4 linked regions of the Drosophila melanogaster genome follow. The gene in region 3 interacts genetically with the main gene of each other region. Each region holds a gene or a part of one and is shown on either strand. Other genes may lie near its edges. The genes, in order: hth, Gug, Scr and nej.

Region 1 (8,030 bases), 3.8 Mb from region 3:
ACGCGTTGCCATAAAACACTTAGGGCCTCTCGCTCCAACGCAACTGCAACGCATGCCATCTCGCTCGGCGCTCTCTCCCGCGCTGTTCGGCGAATTCAGACAAAAACAAACCATTAAAAGCGCGGCGAAAAGAGCGCGTGCACTTGTCTGTCAAGATTATGGCGGTTTCAGTCACTTTGTTGCTGTTTCTGTGTGTTCGATGTTTTTTTTTCGTATTTCGCAGCGACGGCGAAGAAGAAGAAGAGCGCCGACGGCAACTCCTATTTTTCTTCATGTGCCATTTTTTTGTTTTTGGCTTTCTGTTTCGGTTCTTGCTTGAGTGAGTGAGCGGGAGCAAGCGAGATGGCGCCACATCAAGTTGATATCGTGTCGTCGTCTTCATCTTTTGCTGTCGCTCGTCGTTTGCGTTTGATAAATTGCGTTTATAAGAAAGAGATGAATTGTCATGCACACAACACACACTTCTCTGCCGGCGTCGACGGCGACGCCGACTGCACTGCCGGCGTTAACATCACTGTAGGTGTTCGCAAGTGTGTGCCTGTGTGTGTGCGTGCGTGAGTGTTTAAATCATATTGGCTGGCCCCCCAATTGGTGTGAGTGCACGTGTATGGGTAAGCTTTCCCTCTCTGCCCTCTCTTTCGCTCGTCTGGGATTGGAAGTTTCCAAATGCAATTTTCCTTGAGGTTTTCCCGAGTCGGTTCCTTTTCGGCTTTCTTCTTTCATTTTTTTTTCGCTCACTGGGTGGAGGCCCAGCCCCCTAAATTCGCTTCCTGCCCCTCCTTTTGTACACCCCCCCCCCCACCGTTCGCTCTTCTCGCTTCTTGATTATTTTCCTTTTTCGGTGATTTAAATTTCATGGTCCCTTCAATTTGGCAAAGTTCTAAATATTAAATTAAATTCCTGCTTCATTTGCAAAAATTCTTGAGCTTTTCTGGAGCTGTCCGCTTTATTTGCATTCTTCGAAATTTAAGTTATCTGTTCTTATTAAATTTCATCTGAAAACATTTTTTCACTCAGTATTATTCTACGAACTAAGTATATTCTATTCCTCAATTAGCGCTTCTCAGAAAACCTCGAGTTTTCTTAAACAAATAAACTTCATTTGTCTAACATTTCGTTGGGATCCTTGAACTTTGCTACCGCGTCGATCGATCTATTCGAATTTAACTTGGTCACCGATAAGTCTGAAAAGTTCCCACACTTAAGCGTTTCACTAATTTATTGCACTTAATTGATTCGATTTTATGTGATTTTTGTTTCACATAAATTACTTGGCTTTTGGCCCGAGCAGACGCACAAAAGTTGGACGTCTGAAAAAGCCAAAAGAAAGCGAGTCCCGAAACGAAAAAAGGGAAAAAGCAACCGCAAATCAATCAAAGTCTCATAAATTTGTCAAAGTGTTGACAAGACGCAGAAACAGAGCACCTATATCATACATAGTTCCCAAGATTTTGGGGGTTTGGGATTTCGGGATGAAATGGCAACCAGATTAAGTGCAACATCATCTTTTTGACCAGCGAAAACAGACACGGGAAATCCTTTTGGCGAGCGTCGGAAAACAAACAAGGCTATTTTTCATTTTCCTAAAAACGCCGGCCAAATCGCCCCGTCTCTCTCGCTCGCCAGTATCCCCGTCTCTTTCGGCGTAATGGCAACTGCAGCGCCAAGCCAAAAATACGCTGGTGAAAAATGGCCTGGGAATATGTGTTAACTGCTTTTTAAACTGCCACGAGGACGACGACACGACAGTAACAATAACAGCAACAATAGACAGGATTTCGGACTGAATACGAAGATTGGCATACCTTGTTACCCTGTAGTTATTGGTAAAACAAATTGGACTAATTTATTTTAGTTTAAAATGTAAAAAAAAATTTGTACAATCACGCCGAAGATATCACAATTGACTGAAAATTGCCCAAACATACTTGTCATCAAAAAACTTGTTCAAATAATGCAAAAGCCCGTTTCCTCAATTTTTTATTTTTGGTTTGAGATGTAACACCATTTGTACAGGGTATATAAAAAACCAAATGAGAGTAGATTCGCCAAACAGGAGCGCAGAATGACCTGCAAAATATGCAATTTTCAGCGAATGTTTTTGACAATTTATCGCCGTTCCATTTGTTGTTGTTCCCCAAGAAGTAAGAAAGAGAGAGAGAGGAGAAACTCGAACAGCTGTTTGTTGTTGTCAGGATCGCATATCCTTCCAAAGTGGCCAGATCACCGTTACAAGCCAAAAGGACGCAATAAAGGAACTGCAGCGAAAAGTTTGTTTTTGTCGTCCACGTTTCTTCTTCTTCTCCTTCAAGTTTCTTCTCTTTTTTGCCGCTTTTCTTCGAAGGCGTTGCCTATTCGGGCAAAAGTGTGTGTGTGCGAGTGTGTGTGGGGGCGCCAAAAGAGAGCGAAAAGTGAGCGAAAGCTGAAGCTGATGGACAACTGAAGCTTTCTCGCTGCCTTTCAACCTGTAAAGGTGCGGCGAAAAAGAGCCAAGCTGCCAACTGCCACTCACTCAAGCGAAAATAACAAATGGGATTGGTTTTTGCTGATTTTCGACGCCGACGCCGGCAGAGGGGCGAAAAACCCATAAGCCGTCTCCTTTTGGCCAAAGCCAAATAAATTTCAAACGCGGCGAACATTGCGCAAAAAGAGGCGAAAACTGAGAAAGAGAAAGAGATAGAACACCGCTGTACGGTACTGTATATGCATGTGAATGACAAGTGTGTGTATGACAGAAGAGGCGTACCAACAAATCAGTCATCGTCGCCCAGGATGCGAGCGCGCCTGCGCAGGCAATTCGCCGGAGCGTTCGCATAAACCATATATTCCTCTCGCTTGCACTCGCTGAGTTATGGCCAAGAGCGAGTTAATGGCACAATTGTTGCATCTGAACAGAGCGGGGCAGCTGCATGATTGACAATCATGCCGCACCGCTTGCACCCGTTGACTTTGCTGTTGTTTGTCGCTCAGCGCTCTCTTCGCTGTTAGTTAACAGCGATGTTAGGAGTGGAAACACGTCCGACTGTAGCGTAAATTCAAACGTATCTGGCGGGTTGGTTTTTCGATGAAATATCTTTCATCCGCACAGTGTATTTTTGACTGCGAAGCGCGTACGACGTGTGTCTGTGTTGCGTTGCGTTCGAATAAAAAAGAGAAGAAAAGCGAAAAAGTGTTGCCGTCGGTGAAGTTTATTATTATTATGATTATTATTATTGCCCGTTAACCACGCGTTTTGCCATCAATCAACAAATAAACAACACAAGAAACACTTTGGAAATCGCGCGCGTTTTTCCATCGCGCGAACAAAACAATCACGTTTTTTAGTGTGTTTTTCAATCACAATCGAAAAGTTCTCCTTTTCACAATTGAAGGCCAAAATAAATACTGTTATTTGAGGGCCGCGGAGGGAATTTCTTTCAACGAGGGGATCCCGCCGATCCCCCCGCAAAAACAAAGAAACACGCAAATTGCCGTCGCAAAAACACAACAGAATATATTGCATTATATATTAACAATATAATTTGTTCATCTCTAGTAACGTAGTATGTAGAAGCAGCTGTGATAAATAGTGCGCATATTATACGAAAAAAGCAAAAAGAGTATACGACAAACAAATAAAAATTAAAAGCAACCACAACTACTACTATAAAAATAACCAAGGAAAAGGCAAGGAAACTCGCAAAACGAGAGAGAGAGGAAAAGGGAAAAAACGCCATGGATTTATGACAACAACAAATGCAACCCAGTAACAAATGATGTTGCAGCAACTACTACAATACACGAGTATACCAAGAACATCAACAACAACAACTGCAACGGCAACCAACAACAAATTGTATACGATTTTTATAAACCAAACAAATGCTATGTAAATAATTATTATAACAAACACACAAGTAAAAAAAACATTCAAAACCAGATCTCCCGCTCTAGAAAACAAACAACAAACGCGCGCGTAACAAAAACGACAACATCAACAATACAACAAGTATACAAACGTAATAATAATACATAAAATCTAAACAAATGTGCCTGTGTTAAAAAAAAAGAAAGCAAAATCAAGAAGCAAAGCGTTCAAAAAGCAAAGGCTTCCCAATACATGAAAAAAGTGCAAAACATATATAAAAATCCAAGAAAATAACATCCAAAACTGAAGAACTGGAAAAGCCAAGAGTAAATCTAAGGACTCCACACGGGCAGCTACAGTAGAGCTTCCCTAAAACCGAAGCAGTTGCAGCGGCGGAGCGGGACGTCGGTCAGTGTGTTGCGCCCCCATTTGTTGTTCCTACTGTAAAAAGTGGCACAAATCGGGTTAGACGTCGCTCCCAGAGCATTAATGGCTCAGCCCAGGGTAAGTAGATCCACCAAAGTTCACTTTCTAAATATATAGAATCCATATAGAATGGTCCCCCGAGAGTGTTGTTATCCTTAAACAAGTTCCGACGGCTAAAAAACAAATGGGGTTCAGTCAATTTGTAATCAAGTCAAGTGGTGCCGACGGCACTTACAGGTTGTAGTTTATGATGATATTGTAACAGTTTTCATATCATGGATATGTTACCAGTGTAACCAAATCAATCTATAACCAGAATACGCAAAAAGTTTTAAAAATCTTCAGATATTAGTTAATCCAACTTCATGAAGTAGATCTATATAAATATTTCTTATACATGGCCTCCAAGCTTCTCCAATTTAACCCATTACAATCAATTCAATGGGGAATAGTTCTTGTTTATTAGAGCCCTATCAAAATGAATTTTAACTAAGCGTTTCTGAGTGTGTGTGTGTGTGTGTGCTTATGTGTATTGGAATAGGACAGAAATCACATTTGATTTATGCGGGTCATTTTCTGGTACAAGTTTATATAATTAACTGAGTCTGCAGCTAGACCATTTTATTTGGGAAGTGATGGAAATCAAAGATCGCCGAAATAGTGATAGATATTGTATTACATTAAACAACGGTTTACTCTAGAAAATCATTAAATAATGTTTATTGAAAATTGTTAGCTTTTCCCCTTAACTTTTCATTTTCACACCGCAATAGTTGATTCGATTTTTGTTTAAACATGGCTGGGACCTTCACCTCCGAAAAGCCCCCCCGTTGCATAGCCACAATGATTCCACCATTTTCCATCACGTTTATAAGGCATAAATTCTCGCCTCGCTTTTTAAACGGAGTAATAATTTTTACAATCCATCTGGATCGTAAATTATATGCTAATCAGGTGACCGGCAGTCTCCGCTCGCCCGCTCTTCAAAAAAATATTATTACCAAATCGCAGTTAGACTTTATCAATTGATTATCATGGACATGCGAAGTGAACTTGATTTTTATTTAACGGAGCAAAAAGACCTCAAACATGGCCGTTTGCCTGTGTGTGTGCTACCAATTAGCGTGTGTGTGTGTGTGTGTGTTACCAAAAGGTGGGCCATGCTCTTTGGGAGCATTAAAAAAATCAGAAAGAAATATAAAAAATAAAAATGGATATGGAAATGGAAATGGAGATGGGAAAAAAGAAATGCCCGCGGGAATTTTGTGTGTGTCTGCGTTACTGGCGAATAAATTTACGCCTGTGGTTTAATACCCGATTCTGTGCCGAATTTACCTCTTTGAATCCCCTTTTTCGTAATTCTCCTGCGGCTCTTTACCCGAATCGCGCCATTTCAATTCCATCAAATGAATTTTTCGACTCGGGGCGAGAGATATATGTATGTATGTACGAGTATGTGAATATATACGGGTGTTCTGTCTGTTTGTGTGCATTTGATGCATATAATTTTATTGCACATTTTGCACATTGCCAGCGGCCCAAAAGCGATCCATTCAGTTTATGCCGCTTCGTGGTTTTATTATTTACAATTTTATTTTTACCATTTTCCATGACTTTGCGCTGCTATAATTTGCGAAAAATGGCGGGAAGCAATTTTCGCGGGTTCTTCTCAAACCAAACTGCACATGCATTTTTATATATATTTAATTTGATTATTTTATGCCATCGAAACGGAGAGCAAACGAGAGAAACAGTGAGAAAGAGCGGCCGTGTAAAATGTGCAAAAAAAAAAAATGTGCAATTGCAATTTGTATAAAAATGTGCATTGCAGCTGCTGCCATTCTCCCCCGCGCCCCCTCACTTTTCCCACCATTTTTCAGTTCGTGTGCCATTTCAAACGCCTGCGAAATGCAGCACAAAAATTGTTTTGGTGTTATTTTAATTTAAAGGTTAACCGCAGCGTAATTTGTGGCATAAAATATAATTCGTCTATCGTGTGCTCGCCTCTCCCACTGTGTTTGTTCAGCTATTTTTTGTATTTCTCGTTCGCTTTAGAAATAAAATCAAAATCAAAATAGAAAAGATCAAGGAGAGCGGAGCAGCGGAAAATGCCACAGTCGATTCTGTGGTTTACTTTAGTGGCCAGCAGCATTTGCAAAAGTTGATGGAAACATTCGGAATTCGACTTAGGTGGCAAACTAAAACATTTTTTTTGTTGAGCCAGGAAAAAAATTCTAGTTATATATGTATATATTATCAGTATATAACAATGGTCCGCTGAAATGTGTACTTTCAAATATACCAACTGCTGAACTCATTCCATTAATAACAATAAATTGAATTTGAAATTCCCTATGTTACAAAATAACATTCGTCAGCAAAGTATAGTAATATTTTTTCCCGCCTAGTCCTTATCATATTGCAATAGTTTAATCTTTGCCAGCGACCAACCTTCGTCGCGAATTCTTTTCTAATTAAGTGAGCAATTCTCCAGTCTTCCCAGCCTCACCGCATGACTCATGGGCTCCCCACTTACCCCCTTTGCCACGACCCCCCGTTTATCAGGAGATTTCAGATATATCTTGGCTTTCGGTTGAGAATCCGCTCGGCAGACGCTTCACATGCCAGCGAAAATTGAGCGAATAGGAAGCGTCAGGCTGAGAGGAATATTTATAAACAAATTACATATGCATATTTCTGCAAGGGGTGCGCAGGGGGAGGGGGTCATAAGACTCTATATGGGGCCTCCACTTCTCCCACTTTCCACCGATGTTGTTTTTCGTGTGCTAAAGAGCTTCATGTTTAATGATCAAATTGCGTGCCTGATTCTTGGGTCGGTGCCTGCTGGTGCTATATAGTTGTTGCCTTTGTTGTTATAGCCTATAGAGTAGTATTATTATTTTACTTATTTTTTCCCGGCCTCTCTGGCTTACTACAGCACACACATAGTTGCCAAGTTTGACGAGGTCGCTGGCTGCCGTTGAAAGTGTTTTCATTAGTTTCATTTCTTTTTGCATTTACGCTTAAAAGTTTTTTAAATATCGCTGCCCGTTTTTCGTTTGCCGTAATTTCCCCAAACATTAAGTCAAAGTGTTTTGCTAATATTCATCGAATAAAGTGGAATTACTATTTTTGCTGGTGGTGAACTCTTTTCTCCATCTTTATAAAAAGAAAAGAAAAAAAAACGAGGGACTGAAACGGAAAAAGTGTACAGACAAAAATGTGAAGAAAAAATGTGTTGTAAAGTAGAGGAAAAATCATTTAGACAAGTTGCACGCCGCTCATTAAATTAAATGAGCCATCAGCACGCAATTTATTTTCGTATTTTTGAGTAACTTTTGGCCCCGGCAAAAATGCCAAACTCCAAAAGACTTTTGTTTCTTTGGGCCAGAAATTTTGTTAGCAAACTTGGCCAAGTCCTTGTCTTCAGCAATTTAATTAAATAGCCGAGAAGTTGGGAATCAGATAGTTAATTTAGGCCAATAAAACAATTACTGAGAGTATATTTTCTTCTACTTGCATATTCCATTCGTCATTATAAATATAATATAATCAATTAACTCGAGACATATTCGTTTAATTCCATTTAAACACAAGTTTATTTTATTTGCATGCCATACTGCCTTTTCCGCCATTTTCCGTCAATTTAAATTTCAAACATTTTCCTTAAATTTCGGCCATTAAATTGTCTTCGCTTTCGCTGGGCTTTAAATTCCCAGAAAGCAGCTAAAAATATTTTCAAAATTTCTTTTCTTTC
Region 2 (8,072 bases), on a different chromosome or scaffold from region 3:
GTTTCATACGATTTGTTGGATTTGCTCATGAAGTTGTTAAACAGATTGTCGGTGTAGATACCTTCATCATTTTGCACGCCGTCCCCCCGTCCTCCTTTTCATCATCCACATCCTCTTGTTCACAACCTCTATCCCCCCCTTTTTGCACCATAAGTATCCAGCCAATTCTGTAGTCTGCGGCTTTTTCTCTCTCTCTCTCTCTCTCTCTGTGTGTGTGTGTATGTGTGTGTGTCCGTTTACGATTAGTCCCTTAGTACCAAAACTCCTCGCCAGGAATTTTCCTCGCGAGTGTTTGAAAAAACAAAAGCAAATCTCACAGGCTTTTTCAAGCTAAGTTTCGAACACAAAAGTCAAGCCGAATTCTGTCTGATATTCTGTGGGAAATATAATGCAAGTAAAAAAGTAAAAAATGGATTTTAACTCAAAAAAAAAATTTTTAACTGAATGTAACTAAGCAAAACTTAAATTCCCGAGAAATTCCCAAGGAATTAACCAATATTAATTATTAAGTAAGAAACACCATCTTATCGAGTATTTTAAGGATTTTGCAGCTTATCCGCACTTCATTTGGAAATTGTCTCGTGTTACTTATGTCGTGATGTGTCTCGTCCGCTGGCGGCAGGATGTGCGAGTGTCTGTGTCTGTCTGGTCCCTTTTCCTTTTCCCCTATCCATTTTTCCTTTCTCTTTTCGCATTTTCTTCCTTTCTGCACTGTGTACACCTCGAATGGTGTCCCTTTTTTCCTAGTGTTTATGGAACTGCCGTTATTTGTTTGCTTGGCATTGCACGAGTGGCTGTATGTTTGTAAATGAGCTCTTTGCATGATGTGCTGCCTCCCGCTCTTGGGTCGCGTATTATTCCGCTTGGCTAATAGAATTACACACAACGCCAAAGATTTATGGGCCCATTTAACACGCTTTTGCATTATATTCTCACCCATTTGGGCCTGTTCATTGATTTTACACTGATTAACACGAGCTTAAATTATTCATATTTTTTTTTTTGTTCCCGCTTTATAAATAACGCATAAATAATAATAATAATACGCTGAAATGCAGCCAAGCCACAAATACATCACTCTCGGAATTGTATATTTTAATAAGCAGTCTGTGTGTGCTAATTATCTTATCGCTAAATGGAGTTAACACGTAACAGAAACAGTAACTGGGATTGATTTAGCACCGCGAGTGTTTGACTAACGATGTCATCGTGAGGGAGAAGGGTTTTTTTTTATATATATATTGTTGAGGCTTTTTGAGTTTTAATTAATTAACCCTGCTTTACTTTGATTTCTTTGGAATGAGATCTTAATGAAACACCCAGTCTAATAATCACTTTAGTCCTTTCGCGCTTTAAAAAAAACGTAACATATGCTAGAAACGACACCTAAAATCGCAAAATACATTCGAAGCTATCAAAAGGTTAAACAATTTGTCTAATGTTGACACTTCCATTGACCAATTACCACCGAACGAGCTTATCTCACGTACACACCACTAGGTCCAAGGTTTAGCTTTGTTCGTGGGGATGGCTTAGATCAGGCCGCTTGGCTGCCCAGTCAGCAATGCTAATTAAATCGGTTATGTAATTGGACAGAGCACAGAGCGAGAACTCCGAGGCTGAATGAGGAAAACCTTCCGTTTACTTCTAATCGACATCAATAAATCGACACACTCGAGTCAAGTGTGCGCGGATAGACGGACGGACTTTTCAATCAGATAAGCAGCACTTATAAATTAAAAGCGCAACAAAACAGATTAATAAAGTTAAACTTTAACGGCACATTATAAATAAGCCAAATGACTAATAATAAAATATGAAAGCGCGCACAAAACCCCGACATCAAAGGCGACCAGCAACTGTGTAACATACCAGAGATACAAAAAAAAAGAAATAAAAGCCAAACACAAAATATAAAACCGTACCAAAACCAGAGGAGCCGGAAAACCGCGAGGGAACTCATCCATTTCCCAACAGCACTTTTGTTTTTTTTTTTTTTTTTTGGTATTTGTGTTTCTGAAATATTCGTGTTATTTGTGCGCCTTAAGTTTCCGTTGGCGGCACTCGTCTTGCCTTTTTATTAAATGCATTATTAGCACGTTATTTATTAATTAAACACTCCAGCCTTTTAATGCGTCTCTAATCAGATGGCCTCGCCGCCGCACTCTTCGTGGATTTTGGGTTGGTGGGTGCAGATAAGCGGGCGTGCCGGGCAAATGGAAATGTGGAAATGGGCAGGGTGTGGGTTTCGAAGATAAGCAAGGCGGCAAGCGGTGCAAATTGTCTGGGAATTTCCTTGAAATCAATCTCCGTTTTCCAAGAACTAACTGCCTCGAATTTCACTTGGCTAAAAGCAAGTTAAACCATGGCACTTCATTGGAAGAGATAAAGAGATCCGTAAATCCCCCATGAACAATGCGTAAAATTGCGTATCATATGACCTGGTAATCCCTCATTAGCTCTGATTTAATCCTGCACCATATTGCTTGTATAACAAGTGACCTACAATAGCTACAATACAAATTAATCTATTTAACTAGATGTGGCCATAAAACGATGACACTATAAATACAAAATGGCAGCTAATCAATATTATCTTTATTTAAATTGATAAACATATAGAGGACAACCAAAACTAGTTTTGATAGATTCATATAGTTATTAACAAGTGGAATATTTTCCAACAATGCGCTAAAGAGTTTCTAAACTGTCTGATCCCGGTCAACCCTTTTTTTTTTCATTCCGAACAAGGGTGTACTAATTGGCCTACAAGGCAACTCATTAGCAGTATACAAGTGCGGCGATAAAGATCTGTTTCAGTGGGTTTAGGGTATGTGTAAGCCTTATCATCGATCTAATCGCAATTCCCCCTAAATACCACCAGCCCACAAAATGAACACCACAAATCCGAATATGAGCGACAATAGCAAAGCAACGGATTAGGGGCACGCGCCCCCCGGTTTTCTAATTGCTTTGGGATACCATTGGAAAATAGTTTCCTCCATTAGCCGAGTGGAAACCCTTCGGCACAATGAACAAGCAACCCCATCGAGGGGATGTGACACATGAGACGGGGGCCAGCGTGAAGTATCGAATTAAGCAAACAAATAATTATAATTAAATGTGTGCGCCGGGCTCGAACAGATGTCTTGGCTCACCATGAATCCGTAGTCGGGGTTGTGTATCGTCGAGGCGTCCCGCACGAAGATGCTCCTCTCTCCAGCAGCAGGCGGCAAAGTAACTCCGGTCTACGGTCTCCGTCTCCAGATTCCAGACTCCAAGTTGCTGAGGATGATGATGATGATGACGACGATGGTGATGTGGTGCTGTGTCGATGGATTTTCAAAGGGGGTGGGCGGCGGTCGTGGTGGTTCTTGTTGCTTTGCTCCTGTTGTTCTTGATATTGTTGTTCCTGCTGTTGTTATTGGTGTTGTTGTTTTTGTAGTTGTTGCTCAGCGAGGAGGCAGCGAGTAGCCGGAAATGTATATTTCGGTTAATTTGCACAAACACAGCTGGAAGGCGAAGAGATGACGTAGGTGAGAGCCGAGACGATGGAGATGATTAAGCGAAAGAAAAAGAAAATGAAAGAACCAAACAGAAGAATTGAGCAGCTGGGGCGCAAGGAGCGCCCTGCGAAAAAACAATGCCCCACTAGCGATACTACTACCAAAAGCAGTCGCCAAATGAGGCCATAGAACTTGGCAATTTTATACGTTAGCTATTTGCATAGCATAGTTGAAATCCTATGTACCTGGTTTTGAGTTGAGAACTTTTAATTACATAATAATGTGACCCATATTCTTTGATCCTTTCCTTATTAAATTTTATAAACAATGTAAACCAGGCAGACCTATGTTCAAAACATCTGTAATAATAATAATCAATCTATCTATCTATTTGGACTGTATAATATTGAATAACAATAGCTATCAGAAAATCTTTAGTACCAAGATGACATATCTAAGTAAGTCGTAGTAGTCCATATCAATAGTACTATTAGTACGGGGAATAACGCCAGTTATAGCGATATTTTTTATAATCTATTGCCAATAAATACAATTCCAAACACTTCTCTAGCATTAATAGTGGGTAAGTACATATTTTAGCTTATTTATCAGCCAGCAAAAAGGCAACAAGACACATTTTTCCGACAACGTCAGCAACAGCAATTGACTGAGTGGAAGAAGAAGAAGAAGAAGCACGGCCAGCAGGAGCGGTCACAGGAACAGGGAAGGGCGGTGTGGGGGGGGGGGGGCTTTACAGGAATGGGGTTAGTCCGAGGCAGGAGCATCCTTGGGGGGTGGTGGGTGCGCTGGCCGCAAGAGCGTCGCGTTGCGTCGCGTCGGTGGTGACGCCGACGATAACAACAACAACAACAACAATAACAAAGGGGCAACAACGGTGGTGGGTTGCTGCTGTTGTTGCTTGGCCTGTTTTTGTTGTTTTAGTTGCTGCCCGTGCTGCTGACGCTTGGATTTTTGCTTTGTTGTTGCTGCTGCTGCGCTTGCGATTCCTTTTCAGCAAATTTGTTGAGCCTTCGTTCGTGTTTGCATTGTTCTACCCCAAAAAGTTCATAATAGACTGGATTCAAACACCCACCCATCCGTCGGTCACCCTTTCAAAAACTGCGGGGGGGGGGGGGGGGATACGCCACTGTTTTCTCTGTTTTACTGTTTTTCGTTATTTTTTTGTTTTTTGTTTTTTGCTGCCCGAAAGACTTCACATAAATTTGAATGATTTGCACGCTGCGCAACTGCGATTCCAAATTAAATTAGTGACACACTTAGTAATAATTAATTTTCGCACACTTGTTGTAGATTTTTCCTTACGTTTCGCTGCTTGCTTGTTGTTGCTTTTTTTTTTATTGCTGCCGCTGCTGCCAAGTGTTGTTGGATTTTGTTGTTGTTGCTGTTGCTGCTTTCTGGTGTTTTTGTTGTTGGGCGCGCGTGAAACTCGTCGTACGCTTTTTTTTAATGCTCTTCTTCGTTTCTCTTCTTCTTTTTTTGCATACACTTTGCGCACACACACACTGACAGAGAGGCACACTCGCACACACAGGCACAGACAGAGAGCAGCGCACACAGACGTACACTCGAACACACACACACACAGGCACGCACTTTGGTTGCTTGCTTGCGTTTTTTTTATTGCCTGCCTTCGCTTTCAGTTATTTTCACTGGGTTCTTGTGCGATTTTCGGTTGCTTTTTCGCGGAATTTTCAGCCACACGGCGCAGCCAGCGTGGTTGCGAATGTTTTCGCCAGCAAATTACAATAATTGGCTGGCCAAGATGCGTGCTTTTTGTTAAAAATCGCCACTACGAATTTCTCCGCGAAGAAGCCACCATTTTGTAAAAATATATACTTTGCGGGGTCTGGCAAGGCTGGCGGTGGCAGAGTGGCAGCATTGCTGGTGGTCATGTGCTAAATAAGCCAGCAATTGTTGTGTAGCCAACAGCTTTCGTTGGTGAGCACTCGTAAGTTTGTCTTTTGAAATGGTAATTTATTTGTTTAAACAAGACTTAAAAACTTCTAAAGCATATGTTAAAAAAATAAATGATATATATTTAAACATTAATATATGGCTAACAGCTGTGTTTCAGATTTTCTATGAAATTTAATACGATGAAAGTTGGAGTTTAATTGGTTAACAGTCGATCTATATTAACAGTTTGTCGCAGCATATTGTGGGCTTACTTTAAAAATAAATTGCTTAATTTTCGTCCTAATAGGCGAAAAATTCGATTCCACAAACTTATATTTAATTTTTAAAAATCCAACTGATTGTAAAATATCCCTATTGTAAATTAACATTTCTGTTAGAACAGTGAACAAAAGCGCCATTTCGGCAGAAGCGACTATCGACTCTGCGCCTAACATCGATAGCCACAAGAAATCTACCGACGCACCACCACTATTGTTTATTTTGTTTTTCGTCGTTTTTGGATTCTGATTTAAATCACCTCGCTGCGAAAATCGGGAAATTCTAAAGAAGCGCGTCGTCTGTTTAAATTCTGAGGGTTCGCAAAATCGCTGGCATTTAACACTACCACCAAAAAAAAACCAAAACAAATCAAGAGCTGCGAATCTACGGATCCTCAAAATGTGCGACGAGTCCATTGAAAATGTGGAGCATCAAGGTAAAAATTAGTAACTCCGATTCCCGATGTTATTTGCCCAACTCATTTGTTTGGCCATTAAGTAGCGCCCAATATTTGCATAGAAACCAGCTCAAGTGCGTTAAAATATCATTAGGAAAAGGCGGCGGTGGGGGGTGTAGATTCTTTGGTTGATGGTAAAAAAAGGGTAAGTGGGGGTAATTGCGCGTGGATTTTGGCGATTAATTCGGTTTAATTGGAACAGAAAGAATGAAAAGAGTGAGCTAAATTTAGGCAAGTCAGGCCACTCGAGGGAATCGCTTGTTGTTTGCTGACCTTTTCTGCAAATCAGGACAGCTGCACTTCTTAGCGCAGAAACCAACATGCAGCTGGGAATGCACTGAAAAAAAGTGGGGGAAATAAGTCTGATTATATATGTGATACATTAAAAGTGTAACTTTGAGTGAGTAAGCGTAAGAGTAAGTGTATGTGTGCACGAGTGTTTTGGCCATTTCCTTCCCGTTCACTTCACACATTCGATTTCCGCCAATTGTTGTTCTTTGACCTCTTCTTCCTGCTTTTCTGTCGCAATATTAAAAATAATATTTGTTCATGGCCATAGCTAAGCCAATTTCGACCACCTACCGCCCACTTTTGTTGGCCACCGCAATCGATGGTTTTCCATTTTCCATTTTTACCATTTCGCCGACTTTGTCGCCATTCGCGTGACTTCAATGGGTTTCGCTTATCGCTTTTCAAACGGCGCTCGACCCGAGTTTTTATCAGCCTGTTGCAGCCTGCTTAAATTGTCTTAGATTAATTTTAATTTATGATCTCCTGACAGAAGTTAATGAATTGTGGCCAGCAAGCAGCGTATGGAAAACGAAAATAGTTTTCATTTCGCGCTTCACACACTTTCTTCATCAATTAGCGGCTATCAGAATTTTTTTTTTTTTTGTTTTTGAGCGGCAGTTTCAAGTGGCAGTTATATTCGATCCATTTTGGTGAATAATAAAATTATTGCGAAAGCAAACACGAAATGCTTAAACGTGATTAACAGATCTTTAGAATTATTATACTATTGTTTTTTTATTATTATTATTTTTTGCTTACCTAATGTGCATGTTTGTTTGTATAGTACTTAATAAATTTGTTTCTCCTTACGCTTATCGCCTAGAAATGCAAATTGTGAGTTAAAGCTTTTTATTGTTTGCCCAGCGTTTTCATGGGCAATGCTAATTGTAAGTTTATTTGGCGCCCGCCCCAAGAATTAGATATCCAACACCCCAGAGATAAAAAACAACAACAACGAATGGGGCTGATTAAATTGCATTTACCGCCAGCGGAGGTTTCCATTGTGGTAGTCACTATTTTTTTTATTGTTATGTATTCTATAAAGTGATATGCAATTGTGCAATCCTCATGTGGCGGGCTATTTATAGACTCGTTGGGAAACCTGCGGGCACGTTGTTTTTGTTGCATGAGGTAGCAATGCTGGGGATGCTATTGCCACGCCTCCGCTCCCGGGTGGCCATCCAACGCCCACAAGGCGTTCGTTATTGATATTTGTCTTGTTGGTGTTTCAATTGTTTTGATTCGAGAGGGATTCTGAAATACATAACTTACAATACTGTTATGCATGTTTGCAGTTCGTTCTCGTTTTTGCATTTGCATTTTGCATATGGCATTTTATATATTCTATAGTCGATTTGGCACGTACGGCGATTGGTGGCCTTTTTATGGCATCCCCCCAACTGGGGGTAGCAACTGCATTAGTATTAGTTAGGGGGCAGACACACAAGCACACCGTCCAGCAATAAAAGTATATGAACATTTGAATTTGGCGGCTCGAAATTATATAATTCATCGTGTGAGGGTGTTGAAAGCTGGACAAATTGGGCGGACATGACTAAGAACACACTTAATATGGAACTTTTATGGTTTCCTGTTTCTAAAATTGTTGAAAAGATGGTGAA
Region 3 (8,507 bases):
ATTAAAAAGTCATAAAAATTTGTAAGCACCTCATAAAAATAGTCATAAATATTATTCCTCTTCATCTTTTTGTGTCTTTTTTCTCACTCCCCAAACATGCATCTTCTTCTGCCGTGGCAACCCTCGTCACAGTTGCTGTTTGTGGTTTGTTTGTTTGTTTGTCATGGCTCTCATAATTTTTATGAGTTCTCCAATTGTTTTCCCAACTGAAAACCAATCATCGATTCCGATCCTCGCTGCAAGCGGCCATTTGTGGTTCAGCTTGTCATCTCCTCTCCTCTCCACTGCGATAATTTATGATCTTTTGCGCAATGGTCGAGTCGGAATTATCATTTTAAGTAGTCCTGTTTCTGGTCAAGGACATCTCAATTGTGTAATGTATCCTGGTCTTGCCACTGTTTATGGGTAATCCTTGGCCAACTTAATTTGTAGTCATATTTTTGGAGAGCAGTTTTGTCGGACAACTATTAGGATAAATTTAGGTAGAGGGGCGGGTTTTTAAGACAAGTATTAGTTGTATATGCTCGCAGCATTCATGGTTCAATAAATTTCTTTTAATTCTAAACAAATGGCATTCAATATATGCTGTTCCAACCTCTTTTGTATTATTTTGTCTTTCGGTCTTGTATCTTTTCGTTTTGCTACTCTAGCTTTTATTGTAGACTTTTCTATTCCTGTTAGAACGGCCTGCCATTTTTGCGGCCAATAGATCAACGACTCTAGCACAAATTTTCAGCTTGCGTGCTTGCGATTTTGATTTATAAATATGAACGAGTATTGTTGAAATATTTGAGGGGGGCGTCAGGAAGAGCCGGGGTTAGGCCATGATGAATGTCTCCGCCAGGCGCAGGCCAAATAAATTACAGCGCTGCTGAAGACACTCGTAGAACTTTGGACTGGCCCCTACCCTCCAATTAGCCGTATAGACTGCAATTCGGAGTGGAATTGTTACTGGGCCTGCAACTGTCTCAGTGTTGTGCCCATATTATGCAATCGATGCAGCCAGCTCTCCAGCTCTTTGATCTTGGCCCACCCTTGGCGAGATGGGCGAATGAAAGTGACCTACATCAAGTGGAATTTCATCCACTTACGACTAGAGCACATGTGGGATGCCATGCCGGGATGTAGAATACTGCCCAGGAGCATCGCCTTTACTCGGTCATTGGCAAAGTCCCATGAAGTTCCAGCCCAGTGCGTCTTCTTTTATTTTACATAATTTCATGTTCGCCCCATGGCGTCTTGGCCAGCATGAGTTCGAGTTCCCCGGATAGTAGCCAAGCCTATATCGTGGGCATTTCTTCATCCCTATCCCAGCTTGGGCTCGGTATATAACGCTATGTGTCTGGATTAACCTTCTATATGCGGCGCTTGTTAGGCATTTTTCATTCGCTGTGACATTTCGCCTTTGTGCCTCTTAATTATTTCAAAAGCGGCTGCATTTCGCTTTAATGAAGTGAAAATTCCTTGCGTTGATACCGCACACGCAACCTTATGAAAAATTGCTTAAACAGAATACAGAAACAAAGCCCCGATATAGGGAAATATATAAAATGTATTTTCTGGGTTCGGTTACTAGGTATCAAAATATATTTCATTGATTTTTTCAAATTATATTATTTGATATGGAGTGTCTTAAGAAGCAAACAGGGGAAATTATTACGCACCTTTGATGATTTCTTCAAAGAATATTAAATTGATTTATTAAAGAAATTAAAAATTTCTTATTTTTTTTTAACTTACTAGTGTTGGTATTATTTCTTCAATAAGAAAGTCAAAGTACAAGATAAAGATTGTAAGATTAAAAATAAAATTTAAGGTGGTAGAAATATTGTTACTTAAAAAAATATGTACATACGAACAAAGCACTTTTTTATTGTAAATATTATTTGATAAATAAAATCGCATCAAATTGTTAAGAAAAAACTATAATTAAATTGCTTTAGACCAAATATTGCTACATAAGTTCTTAACACATCAAAAAAAAAAACACTAGAAAATACAAAACAAAAACTGACAACGAATAAATATCCTTTCCATGACTGTTTTCACCTGTTCCAAAGCGCTTAAAATATTTTCAGCCGTTAAACTCGTTTACTCACAATTTTAGTTAGCCGACGGCGTTCACCTCCGTTCAAGTGAGTTTGTTTTCTGATTTTCACTGCACTGAACCACGATTTTCACTTGTGCTGAGTGCGGAAATCAACGTGCACAATTACGAAGGTAGAATTGTCACAACCAGCCGGATATCTGGGAAATTAATCCGATGGCATCCTGAGGGCAAACTGGCTAGACTTTTGCGTCCTACCTGCAGGCTTATGTTTTGGATGGTTCTAATGGGTAATTGGCCGCAAAGGGCTAAGCGACGGATTTGGACGGCTTTTGGTATCACAAACACACAAGCACACGCGCAATTTGTTACAGATCACGATAAGTATATGCGCTATGACGGAGTATCTAAGTATCTGCGCGAATTTCACGCCGAATTTATGACTGTCCATCAGCGCCAGCATCGATGCAAGCACTTTGCAGTCCATCCATCTTTCGCTAAAATCGAACAGTATTCGAGGGTCTTTACACGCGGAACAGCTGAGTGTTGGATTGTTTGAGTTTTTTTATTTGTGCTTTTTTTTCTGTTATTCCGGTGTATCCGCGGATACGTGCTCGAAGCGCCAATGTCTCACTTTGACTGCTCGGGCATAATTCAAATTTCTGAGCATCAATAAAAAACACAGATACGCCAGCGCTCTGGCTCACTCATACTGCTCCATTTCCCCCGTCCAATTGTATCTGCGAGTACGAGCAAGTAAGGCTATATGGCTATACAGCTACATATCGTCGTCCAAGTGCAGTGTTCATTATTCGAAAAGTGTGCGAGAGAGACAACGGGCATTGCGCCGCTCCGCCATCTCGCTCGCTCTCAGGCATGTGCTGAAACTACCTTTGCGGACGCGAAGAACGTTTCGAATCAACCGCCAAACCAGAAATTCGTTCCCACAAATTGTATCTCACGGATACGAATACGACACATCGGTGTGTGTGTGTGTGAGTTCGAAAGAGCGGTAGTTCGAAAAGCACCGCTCTCGCGTGTTTCGAACAAGTTCTTATTGAGAGAGATCGTTACTCGGTAGTTCGAAAATCATGTTTCGAACTGCGACTAAAGTCTTATTGTTCTCACCGACACTGTCCGTGTGAGATCGATTTCGGGGGACCAAATCATAAACATTCGAACTCCGTACTTTGGGCTAGTTGGGATAAAATCAAGACTCTGGGACTCATTTTGGGAGTTTGGAGAAGTAAAATCTGTCTCTGAAGATTTAATATATATTTTTAATGTTGTTCATATATTTTTTTTTAGTTAAGTGTGCAGTTAGTTTATATAACATTTGGAGGTATTGCAAAGAAGTAAAGTAATTGGATTTCTGAACTTGCTAAAATAATATATATTTATAAAAAATATATATATATATATTATATTGATTTTTTACAATTGACACCTTTTTTGTATTCTACAATATTTATTGTTTGTTAAATTGACTCTAAAATATTCAATCCTCCACACCACAGTGCAGTTTTAATTCAGAATGATTTGAGTGGAAAAGTTTAGAAAGGTTAAAAGGAACCATTTAACGATATATCGATGGTTTCATTTAAACCTTTAAGGGCAAAACTTTCTTAAATTTTCTTCTTACATTCAGAGTTTAGTTTTTCTACGTTTGTTATTTTCTTACCTTTATGTGGACGATTTGGGGAAATCCAATCAGACGCTACGAACAAGTCGTTGTAATTCAATTAGTTTTCTTAGCCAGCACTTCACTGTATACTTTTTATTTTCGTATTAATTGTATTTGCCTTTTGCACTGCACTTTGCTATCTTAGTTATTTGCGAAGATGAGCAGTTTGAGAAATTATTTGAGGTGGGTAGGTAATTCCGCTCCTATGTAAAGGAGTTAGTCGGTAAAGTATCCGCTATGGGGAGACCATGGCACCTTGCCGTCGCCAAAGAGCTTTCCATGGAATCGCAAGACTGGCTTTCAAGCGGAAACTTCGCGGATTGCTACGCGTACGAATACGAGAACGTGTATCTGTATCTTTTTATGTTTGCAGAAGACCGAGCGCGCTGCTTGGCGACTGAAGTGCGCCACGTTCAATTCACGTTTGAGCCATAAAAACCGACAAAACGACCCTCTCGTGCGTTGCCTTGTGTGCGTTTCGAACACTGTAAATCATTTGAGGACCCGGCCAACGAGTGCGAGAGAGAGGACGGACAGTGCGCATTTTCGAAAATCCTGCTGTCCCACTTGCACCCACGGCAGACTCCGCCCCCAGTCTTGATTTATGCGACGAGGGTGCCACGGCAACCGGCCTATGGCGCTCCAGCTTTTCCCTCGATTTGGGGAAAAGCGCGCTCTCGAGAAAAGCGAGAAATACGAGAAAAGCGAGAAAAAACAGGTAGTTGGCAGCCACTCCAGGACACATCTGCCCCCGGTTCACGCTCCAGATTAGGCCGAAATCATCCTAGATTAGGCGTCTCCCCCACTTTATTTGTATTCAATCGTGGCACTGTTCCGCTAAATCACCGCCACATTATTATTTCGCATTATTATTTTATAAACGTTCCGCTCCGCGTTCATTTCCATTTTTATTGGCCTGGCAAAATGCAAAGTCTCCTGCTGAAGCTTAAGTTATTCCTCCTTTAAAACGAGCTCGTTGGCAGTTGTCTCTGAATTTAAATTTATCGGTCTGTTTCGGGGCTGCGGATCGGGTTCTCTTTGGGCCGTAGCCAAGTTCAAGTTCTCATGATTCATTCAGCATCGGGGCTTAACGATTTTGATTTGTTTGGCTAAATGCCTTAATTAAAAGTCGATTTCATATTTGCTACCAACAATCCAGCATCGCATTCAGAGCTGAACACACATATGGTTTGATTTTGGCGTCATTTGAATTTGAATTCAATTGATTAGTTTGTCTCGGAGATTTAAATGTTGATTAGCTATTTTTTATCATAAAAATGAGTTGCTGGTTAAGACACACCCAAAATCGATTTTGAATGAGATTATTTTTTTTATTTTTATTTTTGGAATCTAACGTTTATGTTGCGAAACCACAAACATATACCAAATACAGATAAATGGCATAGGTCATTCGTAATATATTGCAAAAGCAAAAGTTTGTTTTAATAAGTATTTATAGTGAGTGTCTTAAAAATTATCTTATTTAAAAACGTATAAACTTAATACGTTTATTTGATACGAACTTGTAATAAAAGTGTTTTTTTAAGTGGTACTGAACGGTTACTTTCGAAACCCGAAACGCGAAATCAGCAATTCTTTCGAAAATATGTTTATTAAAATATAAATAAATTTTGTAAGTACGTATTTCGGAATTTATAGCTTAAGTTTATGTACCAATTCGATTTGTTCTTCTTATAGAAGTCGTATTTTTTGCCATATGTTTTCCGCTGTGTTTTTGAAACACACATGTCAGCTCTTTATGGTTGGCCCGCATCATCCACAAACCATATAAAAGTATAGAAAAAAACAAATGATGGAAAATAAATGAAAAACTAAAAAAAAAAAATCATAAGAGAGACGCCTGCGTGTACTTCTGTAATTGGAGTTGATGTTGGCGATGCCAGCGGGCAGCCAGCGCCAGACTCTCGTATCCCAATCCATAGCATAGCATAGCATCCTCTCGGATCCCATTCCATTCTAGATCCATGGAGGGTCCCCAGCAGCATCCAACATGTTGCAGGCGATTTTTCATCATCGCTTGCATGTTGCCTCCGATTGTAAATGTTGCCCCTCGCACACACACGCTCAATTTTTAATATGAAACAATCAGCAGCGTTTGTATTTTGTTTTTAGTTAAAGAAAACAGCGCGTAACGCGAAGTTGGAATTTTTGAATTAAATCTGGACATAGAAAAAACACAAAGAAAAACTTTGTAACTTATGTAACGCACTTATGGTAACTTTTATAATACAATGTAACATATTTATAACTAATTTTAAATTTACTTTTCCAAACATTAAACTGTTTATTTAAACAAATTTTTTTTTCTTTTCCATACACAATTACTGAATTTTATTACTATTTGGGGCTTTATATTTGAATAGCAAGAGAGGTTAAAATTAATGTTAGTATGATTTTGTCTCAGTGCATCAACGAAACTGCAACAGCAACAGTTTCCAATTAAACGATCCAAGAAAAATGAATACCCCTCCCCGAACCAAACTCACGACAATTCGTTAATACCTTGCCATTTGAGTTCTTCACGCATCCGTAATGGAAATGGGGGTTCTTGAAATTGGTTGTAGGATGGGTAGTCCATGTCTACGAGTAGTTGATAAATACCCCCAATTTGGGGGCAAACACAAGTCGGTGTTAGTCGGGATATAAGCTGTATCTGGAGCGGAGCAAACTCCTACAGAACCAACTGCAGTTGGCGATGCATTGAGAGATGCATTTACATTAAAGGCCAATTTAAATTAATTTCCTCTCTCTGCTTTTTGGCAGCTACCAGTTTTCAGTTTTCAGTCCTCAGTCCGTAGAGCCCCTGTGTCAGTGTCAGTCCATTCACATTTGATTATGACAAACGTTGCTCAGCTGTCAGGCGAGCTACTTAGTTGAACAAGATGGCTGGCCAAGTTGGTCAGGGGTGGGGGAGGACTTCTTGGTCTTGAGACTGGGTAAGCGGTTCTGCGGAGAAGGGCCTTGGAGGTCATTAGGAGGAGACAACAGCTGAGCTTAAGCGATGAACCAGGGCAGGAGGCACTGGTGTACACGAAAGGAGCAGTAAGGCACGAGTTATGACTATGTGATCTTTACGGGCATATTTTAAAATGTGTTATGTAGCTTTTATTTTATGCGTGCCATTTTACTTTAATTAGCTTTAAATGGAACTACAATATATATAAATATTTACCACCTGATTCATTCATATGTCAAGTGTATTTAAAACTATTAACTTCAACTTTGTTAAAGTGTTTCAAGTGTTTGGGCTTTTGCAAGACTGTATGAGAATATATCATGAGTTCACTATATTATTTAAACTGTAATTTACTACATAATGTTACATTCACTCGTGTATATATCATGTACATGATTTACATATATACATTATATACAAACTGCTACAGCATTAAATCTGATCTTTAAAGATTTCATTTTCAATATTTCCCAGCCATTCTGTGAATGCATAAATAAAACAACAAAAAACCGTACACACAATACAGCATCCAACGCCGTGCAAACGCCATTTTGATTGAATTTTTATTCGCATACACACATCCCCCGAAATACATATACAAGGAACATCAGGACACATCGCCAGCCAGCCAGATAACCAAGCTTTTTCCGCAGTGGGAAAAGCTTTAACTGTATATTGCTCTCGCTTTGGCCGCAGCTGCTGCAGGACGAGATGATTTTCGGATGGGGAAAGTGGGAGAATGAGACTCGGGGAAGGAGGCGTGGATTGTTGCGCATGTCCTTAGCCACAAGCTGCGTACTTGTGCAATGATTAATTCTCCAGGACAGCGGCGAAAGTTGCCACGAACCTATAAGTAACTTTAAAGTATCCTTAAAGTGCAAACTAAGTAGTGAAATATTTGAAATGGCCGGCAAGGGATGGAATGCAGCTGCTCATTCTCAAGCAGCCCCTAGGATTCGTTCCCAGCTAAAATCCTGACAGCAATCAATCAGATCGCAACAAAAGATACATAGTCAGAAAAAAAGAGAAGGAACCAAAAAAATCTATAAAGTCCCGACTGACTGCTCTTGAAATACTGCGCCAAGGTCGAACTCTCAGCTGAATGTCCTTCTAACAGGTTCTTGGCATTGTTCAACATGTAGTTTAGCAGTTTTTAGCAAATGCTTGCCAATTTCTTAGCCGAAACTCCTTTCGCTCGATTCGAATTCGGTTTTCGAAGCCGGAGCTCATTTGTGTTCATTATCGTCCTGCGGCGCGCCGCCAACGGAATCCTTCTATTGCAGTTCCGTAGCTTCATCCTTATTCACCCACACTATGCGTGTGAACAATGCGGGCGTTCACTTGTACGCAGGACTAAGCTGCATGTGTCTCTATTGTGTCCCTTTGCTCTACTTTTGGCCTCCTGCCGTCGCTAATCAGCGTCGCTTTAATTGGTCCACCTCATCAAGGCCACATTAAAGGGAAAGACGGATTGCAGTAGAGTTTGGAATTAGCAAATGAGTCGGTTTCGTCACGGTTTTGAGATACTCCAGCTTCGTCTGAACTACGGAAATGATTCGAAATAAAAAATGTTGCATCTGTCATGTATTAATAAACAGACGTTTTTAAGCCAAACAAATTTGAATCGTGTTTTTAATTAGGTCTTTTAATTTAACTATACATATATTTTAACATCCGTGTTGATGTGAAACTATTTGCGTGCAAAATATACGAGTAATATCGAAATATTTGGAGTCATATAAACCAAAATAATTTCTTGAAAACTAAGTAAGGAACATAATATTTTTTTTTAGAGAATA
Region 4 (8,204 bases), on a different chromosome or scaffold from region 3:
CGAGCAAAAAAAAAAAAAAATAAATAAATTTGTTTATGAATGTCAAGTTTAGTTTTAAATCTATGCACAACTTACATTACGTTTCGGATTCTGGTGTATTGCTTTTCGGCGGATCTGAATCGTCAATAACCCGTGCAGGTAATTGTTCATTAATATTTTTATTATACATTATCTCATTCTCCACCATAAGCATTAAAGTGCGTGCTCGAGGCACTTTATTAGCTAGCCTATTTTTAGCTTTAAATGATCTATGTATTGTTTTTCTTATTTTGTTTTTTTTTGGCTTTTCCTGGTTTGACTTTCGTACTTTCATGTTTTATTCTAAATTTTCCAAAACGTATTTGTTATTCGATAATTTTTACGTTGTGTGTTTTCTTTGGGAGTCAAAGTAGAAATGAGGGTTTTGCTTGTGGGTCGGTTGTCTTGTGATTGAAATTATGTTCAATGCCTACTTTGTTAAACAAATTTAAATCGAAATACCGAAGCTCACTTTGTTTTTTTTTTATTGATACAAATTGTCTTACATTAAATCTAAAATATTATTTGTGTGCGCAGTTTTAAACAGCGAATACAATAACCCAAAGAGCAAATAGCCATGACACCCACCCTTATGTAATAGCTTTTTGAACACCATCCAGCGGGAAGTCATGCAACTAAAGGCAACTGTTTATCTTTTCTTAACCTAGGTGGCGCCATTTCTATTTCACAGATGGATTAGGCGATACACCGAAAGAAATCAGTAGATGATTGATGATATAAAAAAATAAAATAAATGTATTGTCTCAATAGGTTATATTTTGCATTTTATTTATTTATTAGAACGTTGCAGACAAGAGTTTAAATCATATAGATATCGGCTATAGCTGCTGGGGCTTTCAGCCGGACTTCTACATTATTGTTTACGTATTTAGTTACAACATTATTTGCAATTATTTACATTGTATTACTGCACTTACCTTATTGGAATATCTCAGATAGGTTTTAAAGCAAATAAAATACGTTAATGTAGGATAATTTTTTATAAAGTGCATATGCACTTCTACAAATATAGCTATTTCTTTACGCCTACATATGCGTAACCTAAACCTGAAAATTATGAATATGTTCCCCTTGTAAACAGCAAATATTATCCAAAATAGGCGCTTTGCTCATTTTACTCAATTGTACAACTAAAATTTGTATTCCATTTAGGTACTTTGATTTGCACTGTTTTCTACCCTATGTTACGCTCCACTTACAATAGAGTTTTATCAAATTGTAAAACCAAACTTTATATTCCAATTATTTTTAGGTTTTGAAACTCTTCAGTTCTTCATTCTGCATTGTTATTATAGCACGTTTCATCCATATAAATACACAAGATTAAAGGCAAATGACAATAATATCCGAAAAGATAGCTAGATAATGAATAATTACGCTTTTTAGCTACACAGCGGCCACAATGACAGCACTGTTCCTCGTACGAATGCTAACGTTAAGAAGAGGAAGAGACGAGCGGTGCTGGGTTGAAAAAAACTGGAAAAGGGGGGAAATTGGCGCAAATTGTGCACGCGAGGCGCAGCAGGGACGTTGGATCTTAACTATCGGTTTGTGTTCCTTACTTTGCGGCAAAATTAATGCAACCAATTGCCGATATACTGAGAAAAATGGCATAATTAAATAACCAGATCCAACGCATGTAGTGTAAAAAGTCGGGCATTATTCCCAATCGCAAAAGAGAGAGAATCGGTATCACTCGCTGACCCGTCTCGTTCGAGTCTTGATCGCGGTATCTCGCTTGCACCCACATACCGAGCGCCAGCCAGTCATATGGCCGTCCCGTTCATTTCGGTGACAACGTGTCGGTGTGTGTGCATCAGTGTGCAAGCTTATATGTGTGCGCTGTGTATCTGCAACAAACAACGGCGGCCGCTAACAAAAAAAATTGTAAATAAATACGCTGCCGTTCGACAGCGCGCGAAAATCGAAAAAGTGCTCGAAAAGTCAACGAAAGAGCGCCCCCAAAAGAATATAAAAAATTCCGCTAGCGGAAAGGGGGGAACAACAGAAGCAAGTGGGACATTTATTGAACAATTTGAAAATTAATTTGTTCTGTGCGTTGTTTGCATGACCACCGGTTCGTCGGACAAGGACGACGATAGTGTATCCTTCGGCGGCTGATTTTTCGGCTTGCCTCTCTCTCACACGTTCTCTTTGTCTCTCACGGCAAGAGCGAACGGAAAACACGCTAACACTGAACCCACCAGAGATGCGCAAATCCAATGACTCGATTACTTACGTGATCCTCTGTAAATATCGTTTTTCCTTTGAAGAACTTTAAACTAGATTTTTACGATGGACAAACGTTTTCAAAATTAATGTCTACAAATACTTTTTTAAACAAAAAATTCTAAACAACTGCACTCATTCAAGATGTTGATTTATTAATTCATATTAAACATCTTTTTGGAATACCTATTTGATCTCAAAAACGCTGCAAAGAATATTCATTTCATAATGATGTTGGTCTCCAACCAATGATGTTTCTTACAAAACTTCTTTGTGCACATTTTCAAGTGACCGCATAAAAGTATCGGCGAATGTGTCACCGTCATCATGTGGTCATCTCTGGACTCGCTGCTTCGTTATCTGGCGCGCCATATGTGTGCGCGTGTGTGCGTATCGGCTCTTTGGGAGCGCATGGCGTGAGCGGTCTCGCCGACGCAGAGAGCGAGGGACTAGAGCAAAACAGTGTTCCGACAGCGGTTAACAGCTGTTACGGGGCCAACAGACTGCTAGCAAAGGCATTTATATGGATTTCGGGTCGTAACAGTACGACAACAGCGGCCAAACAGCACGCGAGAGCGACGAGAGCCCACTCGCGTGTTGTGTTAAACAGTCAATTTTAGTGTATTTCCGAGCTCGGTGGTGTATTTGAACGGCTAGCCGCGGTCACACTGAAGCAAAAACATTTTTGGCTCGGAGAACGATTAACACAAGCGGACTGAAATTTTTTTGTTTTAGTGTTGCGAAAAAGTTTGTGGGATTTTTATAAAATCGCCGGAAAATGTGAAAAATATATGGTATAAAACCGAAATTCGGCAAAATTGCAAAGTATAGTTAGAAATTTAGTGCGTGGCAATCGGTGACGGTGGAAAAATAAAAATACCGGCCAAAATCGGGCTGAAATTTTTTTCAAATTTTCTACGGCATTTTCTTGAATTTCGTATTTTCGCCAAATATTTTTGCGATTTTTGTGTGGGCCGGGAAAAATGAAAAACGCTCTGGCGGAGACAACACAAAAAATTTCTGCAATAGAAACTTTGAAACGACGTGAAGAAGAAAACGAAACGAAAACGACGAACGAACACAGAAAAAAAATGGAATATATTTCTGTCGTCTGTTTTTCTTTCTTTTTCCAATGCTCCTCGCACTCGTTGCCGTTTACCGTCGTGTGTATATTGCACACTAATGCCGCTTGGCACTAATACCATCGCATGCTTTCTCTCTCGGACTCGTGCTCGCTCTTGCACGAACTCGCTGTTTTCGAAGTGTGCGTGTGTGTAACTGTGTGGTGAAAACGGCGTTGGCGTCGCTGTGAGAATTCTGTACGCGCGCCCCAAACCCCAAATGTGTGCGTGCGTGAGTGTGTGAAAGCTTTTGTCAGCCAGCCCCACTGCACTCTAGTGTCATCCCGCTCGCACCCCACTCGCCACTCGCCGCCCCAACAAATTGAATTTCATATGATGGCCGCTCGAATGCGGAAGCAAAACCAAAATACGGCCACTTTTTCGGCCATTTAATTTATAAACTAGACTATAGACTACAGCCGCAACTGGCTGATACTTCAATTAATTTTTTTAAGCAGTGCTCTGACTTTTATTACCTGTAAAGGTGTGAAATTTTTTTTCCAAAAATGTATTTGTCATAAAAATGTTAAGCATGTTTCAAAGTATATTTTTGCCAACGACGGCACTTGTTTTCCATATTTTTTAGGGGACTGGCGGCAAAATGAAATTATTATTTTCATTTTCGTGGTGTGCGCCAAAAGAGCGAGAGGCCAACACACACGTCTGCGAGTAAAATAACGAGTACAGCGCTGGTAGTATTGGCGAATAAAATTGCGAGGCAAGAACAGACAAGAGAGAGAGAGAGAGTGAGTGGTCGTCAAGCGGCACACAGATGAGTGCAACGAGACCGAGAGAATTCTCGGTACTGTTCTCGTTGTTCTTCCCTTTTCGCCCCGTCTTCGGCACGTCTCGTCGCATTTTAGTTTCGTTTTGTTTCCATTTTCCCCTCGGTTTCGCTGTCCACTCGCGCGCGGCTAAATTACAAAAAAGAAAGAAGAAAATAAATAAATATTGCTTTCGATTTGTGTTCGTCCATTCAACATAATCTAATAGGCTGTGTATTATTCTTCTTGTGCGTTTGCAGTTAATGTGTAATGCTAGAGCGGCAAACGTCGGCAGCAGCAGCAGCAGCAACAACATCAGCATCGACAAAAACAACAGCAGCGCGCCAGCAACAAAAACAAACCGAAACACAACAAACCCAACAACAGCCAACAATGTGAATTGCTTTTTTTTCCTTATTAATTGTAAACGATAACCGAATCAAGTGCAATCAAAATTAAACACAAGCATATATAATATATGGTCAAAATATCTATATATATATATATATATTCCTGTGTAACAAAAAGCCGCCAAAAACAAATCACATAAAATATGTAAGATAGCGGAGAAAAAGGCGGAAAGAAAAGGAAGAGAAAGAGGAGAGAGCCAAACCAAGAACCGTTCTTTTTCGCTCAGTGGAGGCAGGCAGGCAACAACAGACAAACAAACAAACAAACAATAACAAGAGCCGCCCAGCCAAGGTCAACTTTTGGTGTTTTTGGGGCCCAACAACACAAAATGCACGCGTGTGTCTGCTGCTGTTCGACAAACAACAATTGCAACAACGAGAACAACGACGGCAGCAGCAGCAGCAGCAGTAACCACAACAACAACGACAGCAGCATCAGCAGCAGCAGCAAAAACAAATTGCAGCTAAAAAAGCGCAGGGCCGAAGTCGAAGAAGAAGAAGAGGTACTGGTCAAGCGGACGCAGGATAAGAACAAGCATCAAGAGGAGCAGGAGCAGGAGGAGCACCAGGCGGTGGAAAAGTTGTCTGCTGGCCAAAGCGCCAGTGGCGGCGACAACGATCTCAACGGCGCCGCAACGAGAAGGCGGTGGTGGCTGCGCGATCCTCCAGGATCAGCGGAAGCGGCAGAAGGAGAGGGAAAAGGCGAAGGAGTGGAAGTGGGTGTGGGAGCAGAAGGATCAGCGGGCACAGGTCCGACGACGTGGTGGTGGTCAGCTCCATCCGTTGACGTTGCGGTGACGATAGCGCCGGCTACGTTGTTGCTGTCGTTGCAGCGGCAATTAGCAAAGGAATTATCTAAATCAACAACAACAACTGCAACAAGAACAACAACAGAAGCCACATCCTTAGCAATAAAAAGCGGAGCAGCAGCGTTAATATCATCATTAAGTGCAAGCATCGCCAACATCATCGATTACAAGATCCCAAAACACCAATACCAAAACCAAATCCCAATCCTCGCCAGCCACGCCTTTTGAGTGCCTCTTTGTGTGTTGTGTATTGTGCGTGCGTGTGTTGCAAAGTGTCCAAACTAATCAAGAAATCTACAACTTAAAACACTAAACACTTAACCAAACAAACAACCTGTGCAACAATTGTCAAAGTGCTAGGCGACAAATAATTTCTGAAAGAAGATTTGACAAGTTCCAATAACGAAAATATCAGAACACACTCGAACTCCAACATAGACGGATCATTGGAGAGTTAGTGAAAAAAAAAAGCGAAAAATCAGAAAAACTTTATAAACTAATAGAAACAATACTACTCAGATTTTTCGAACGTTTTTCGTCTGCGTTTCTGTTTTTTTCCGAATCGAAAGAATCAAACTAACTCTATATGATGGCCGATCACTTAGACGAACCGCCCCAAAAGCGGGTTAAAATGGATCCAAGTGAGTACCGAAACCAGAATATTCGATTTCTCATTTTTTTTTTTTTTTTGTTAATAACTTTTAGTTTTAGTTTATCAAACTTGTATTCTCCAGTTATTTCATAATTTTTAATAAATTCCTTACGGAATTGAAAAAGCAATTAATTCTATCCAACTATTTTTTTTTTTAAGAAAATTCCTTGCTAAAAACAATTTGGTTGTATCTTCCTCCAGCGGATATCTCTTACTTTCTGGAGGAGAACCTGCCCGATGAGCTGGTGTCCTCGAATAGTGGCTGGTCGGATCAGCTGACCGGCGGAGCAGGCGGTGGCAATGGAGGTGGCGGCGCCTCCGGTGTAACCACAAATCCCACATCCGGCCCAAATCCCGGTGGCGGACCCAACAAGCCGGCAGCCCAAGGACCCGGCTCTGGCACAGGCGGAGTCGGTGTTGGAGTGAATGTGGGTGTCGGCGGTGTTGTTGGCGTCGGCGTTGTGCCTTCCCAGATGAACGGAGCCGGCGGCGGCAACGGATCCGGAACGGGTGGCGACGACGGCAGTGGCAACGGCTCAGGAGCGGGCAACAGAATCAGTCAAATGCAACACCAGCAACTGCAGCACCTACTCCAGCAGCAGCAGCAGGGCCAGAAGGGCGCCATGGTGGTGCCCGGCATGCAGCAGCTGGGCAGCAAGTCGCCCAACCTGCAGTCACCCAACCAGGGCGGCATGCAGCAGGTGGTGGGCACTCAGATGGGTATGGTCAACTCAATGCCCATGTCAATATCGAATAATGGCAACAATGGCATGAACGCCATACCAGGTGATTAATCGTTCTTCCTTGTAATTGGATATCCAAGTTATCCTAGCCAATGCAACCAAATGAATATAGCAACAATTATCTGAAAACCCAAATTATGTTATATCTTTCGCAGGCATGAACACCATTGCGCAGGGCAATCTGGGAAACATGGTGCTGACCAACAGCGTTGGCGGCGGCATGGGCGGCATGGTTAATCATCTTAAGCAGCAGCCTGGCGGCGGCGGCGGTGGGATGATCAATTCCGTTTCAGTACCCGGAGGACCTGGAGCAGGAGCTGGTGGCGTTGGAGCTGGCGGCGGAGGAGCCGTTGCCGCAAACCAAGGCATGCATATGCAGAACGGCCCAATGATGGGACGCATGGTGGGGCAACAGCATATGCTTCGTGGCCCGCATCTCATGGGTGCCTCTGGAGGAGCTGGTGGGCCAGGAAACGGGCCTGGTGGCGGAGGACCACGCATGCAGAATCCGAACATGCAAATGAGTGAGTTTCTAGTGCCAGATCTAGTGTATTTCCAGCATGGAATTGAATCGATGGCTGATGTAAGATTTCCGTCCGTTTGCAGCTCAACTCAACAGTCTGCCCTACGGAGTGGGTCAGTATGGTGGCCCAGGCGGTGGTAACAATCCTCAGCAACAGCAGCAGCAACAGCAGCAACAACTTCTCGCCCAGCAGATGGCCCAAAGAGGTGGCGTCGTACCGGGCATGCCGCAGGGTAATCGGCCCGTTGGCACAGTGGTGCCCATGTCCACACTCGGCGGCGATGGATCAGGGCCCGCGGGGCAGCTGGTAAGCGGGAATCCTCAGCAGCAGCAGATGCTGGCGCAGCAGCAAACCGGAGCCATGGGCCCGCGTCCTCCGCAACCAAACCAGCTGCTCGGTCATCCCGGCCAGCAGCAGCAGCAGCAACAGCAGCCTGGCACCTCGCAGCAGCAGCAACAGCAGCAGGGAGTCGGAATCGGAGGAGCAGGCGTTGTGGCCAATGCAGGAACCGTGGCTGGCGTGCCGGCAGTGGCAGGCGGCGGAGCCGGTGGTGCCGTACAATCTAGCGGCCCTGGTGGCGCCAATCGCGATGTGCCCGACGACCGTAAGCGACAGATCCAGCAGCAACTGATGCTGCTCCTCCATGCACACAAATGCAATCGCAGGGAGAACCTGAATCCGAACAGGGAAGTGTGCAACGTTAACTACTGCAAGGCGATGAAATCCGTGCTGGCCCACATGGGCACTTGCAAACAGAGCAAGGACTGCACCATGCAGCATTGTGCCTCTTCGCGCCAAATTCTGTTGCATTATAAAACGTGCCAGAACAGTGGCTGCGTCATTTGCTATCCCTTCCGGCAGAATCATTCGGTTTTTCAAAATGCGAATGTGCCGCCAGGAGGCGGACCGGCAG

The links.
Region 1: of Scr (region 3) and hth, changing one suppresses a phenotype caused by changing the other (phenotypic suppression), as found in Drosophila melanogaster (one study listed by BioGRID).
Region 2: of Scr (region 3) and Gug, changing one suppresses a phenotype caused by changing the other (phenotypic suppression), as found in Drosophila melanogaster (one study listed by BioGRID).
Region 4: of Scr (region 3) and nej, changing one enhances a phenotype caused by changing the other (phenotypic enhancement), as found in Drosophila melanogaster (one study listed by BioGRID).

The regions. Positions count from the first base shown.
Region 1 is NT_033777.3:10,609,306-10,617,335, reverse strand, and holds the start of hth (homothorax), read left to right. Parts: upstream 1-3,059; 5' UTR 3,060-4,336; coding exon 4,337-4,351; intron 4,352-8,030. UniProt on the Drosophila melanogaster protein: All isoforms are required for patterning of the embryonic cuticle. Acts with exd to delimit the eye field and prevent inappropriate eye development.
Region 2 is NT_037436.4:8,447,215-8,455,286, reverse strand, and holds the start of Gug (grunge), read right to left. Parts: upstream 5,366-8,072; 5' UTR 4,830-5,365; intron 4,640-4,829; exon of another isoform or gene 4,600-4,639; intron 3,513-4,599; 5' UTR 3,159-3,512; intron 1-3,158. Other genes in the region: CG6983 (uncharacterized protein), read left to right, coding at 6,102-6,138.
Region 3 is NT_033777.3:6,845,817-6,854,323, forward strand, and holds the start of Scr (Sex combs reduced), read right to left. Parts: upstream 4,166-8,507; 5' UTR 3,729-4,165; intron 2,690-3,728; exon of another isoform or gene 2,100-2,689; intron 1-2,099. UniProt on the Drosophila melanogaster protein: Sequence-specific transcription factor which is part of a developmental regulatory system that provides cells with specific positional identities on the anterior-posterior axis.
Region 4 is NC_004354.4:9,680,361-9,688,564, reverse strand, and holds the start of nej (nejire), read left to right. Parts: upstream 1-2,897; 5' UTR 2,898-3,015; exon of another isoform or gene 3,016-3,062; intron 3,063-4,413; 5' UTR 4,414-5,958; coding exon 5,959-6,013; intron 6,014-6,225; coding exon 6,226-6,810; intron 6,811-6,922; coding exon 6,923-7,291; intron 7,292-7,355; coding exon 7,356-8,204.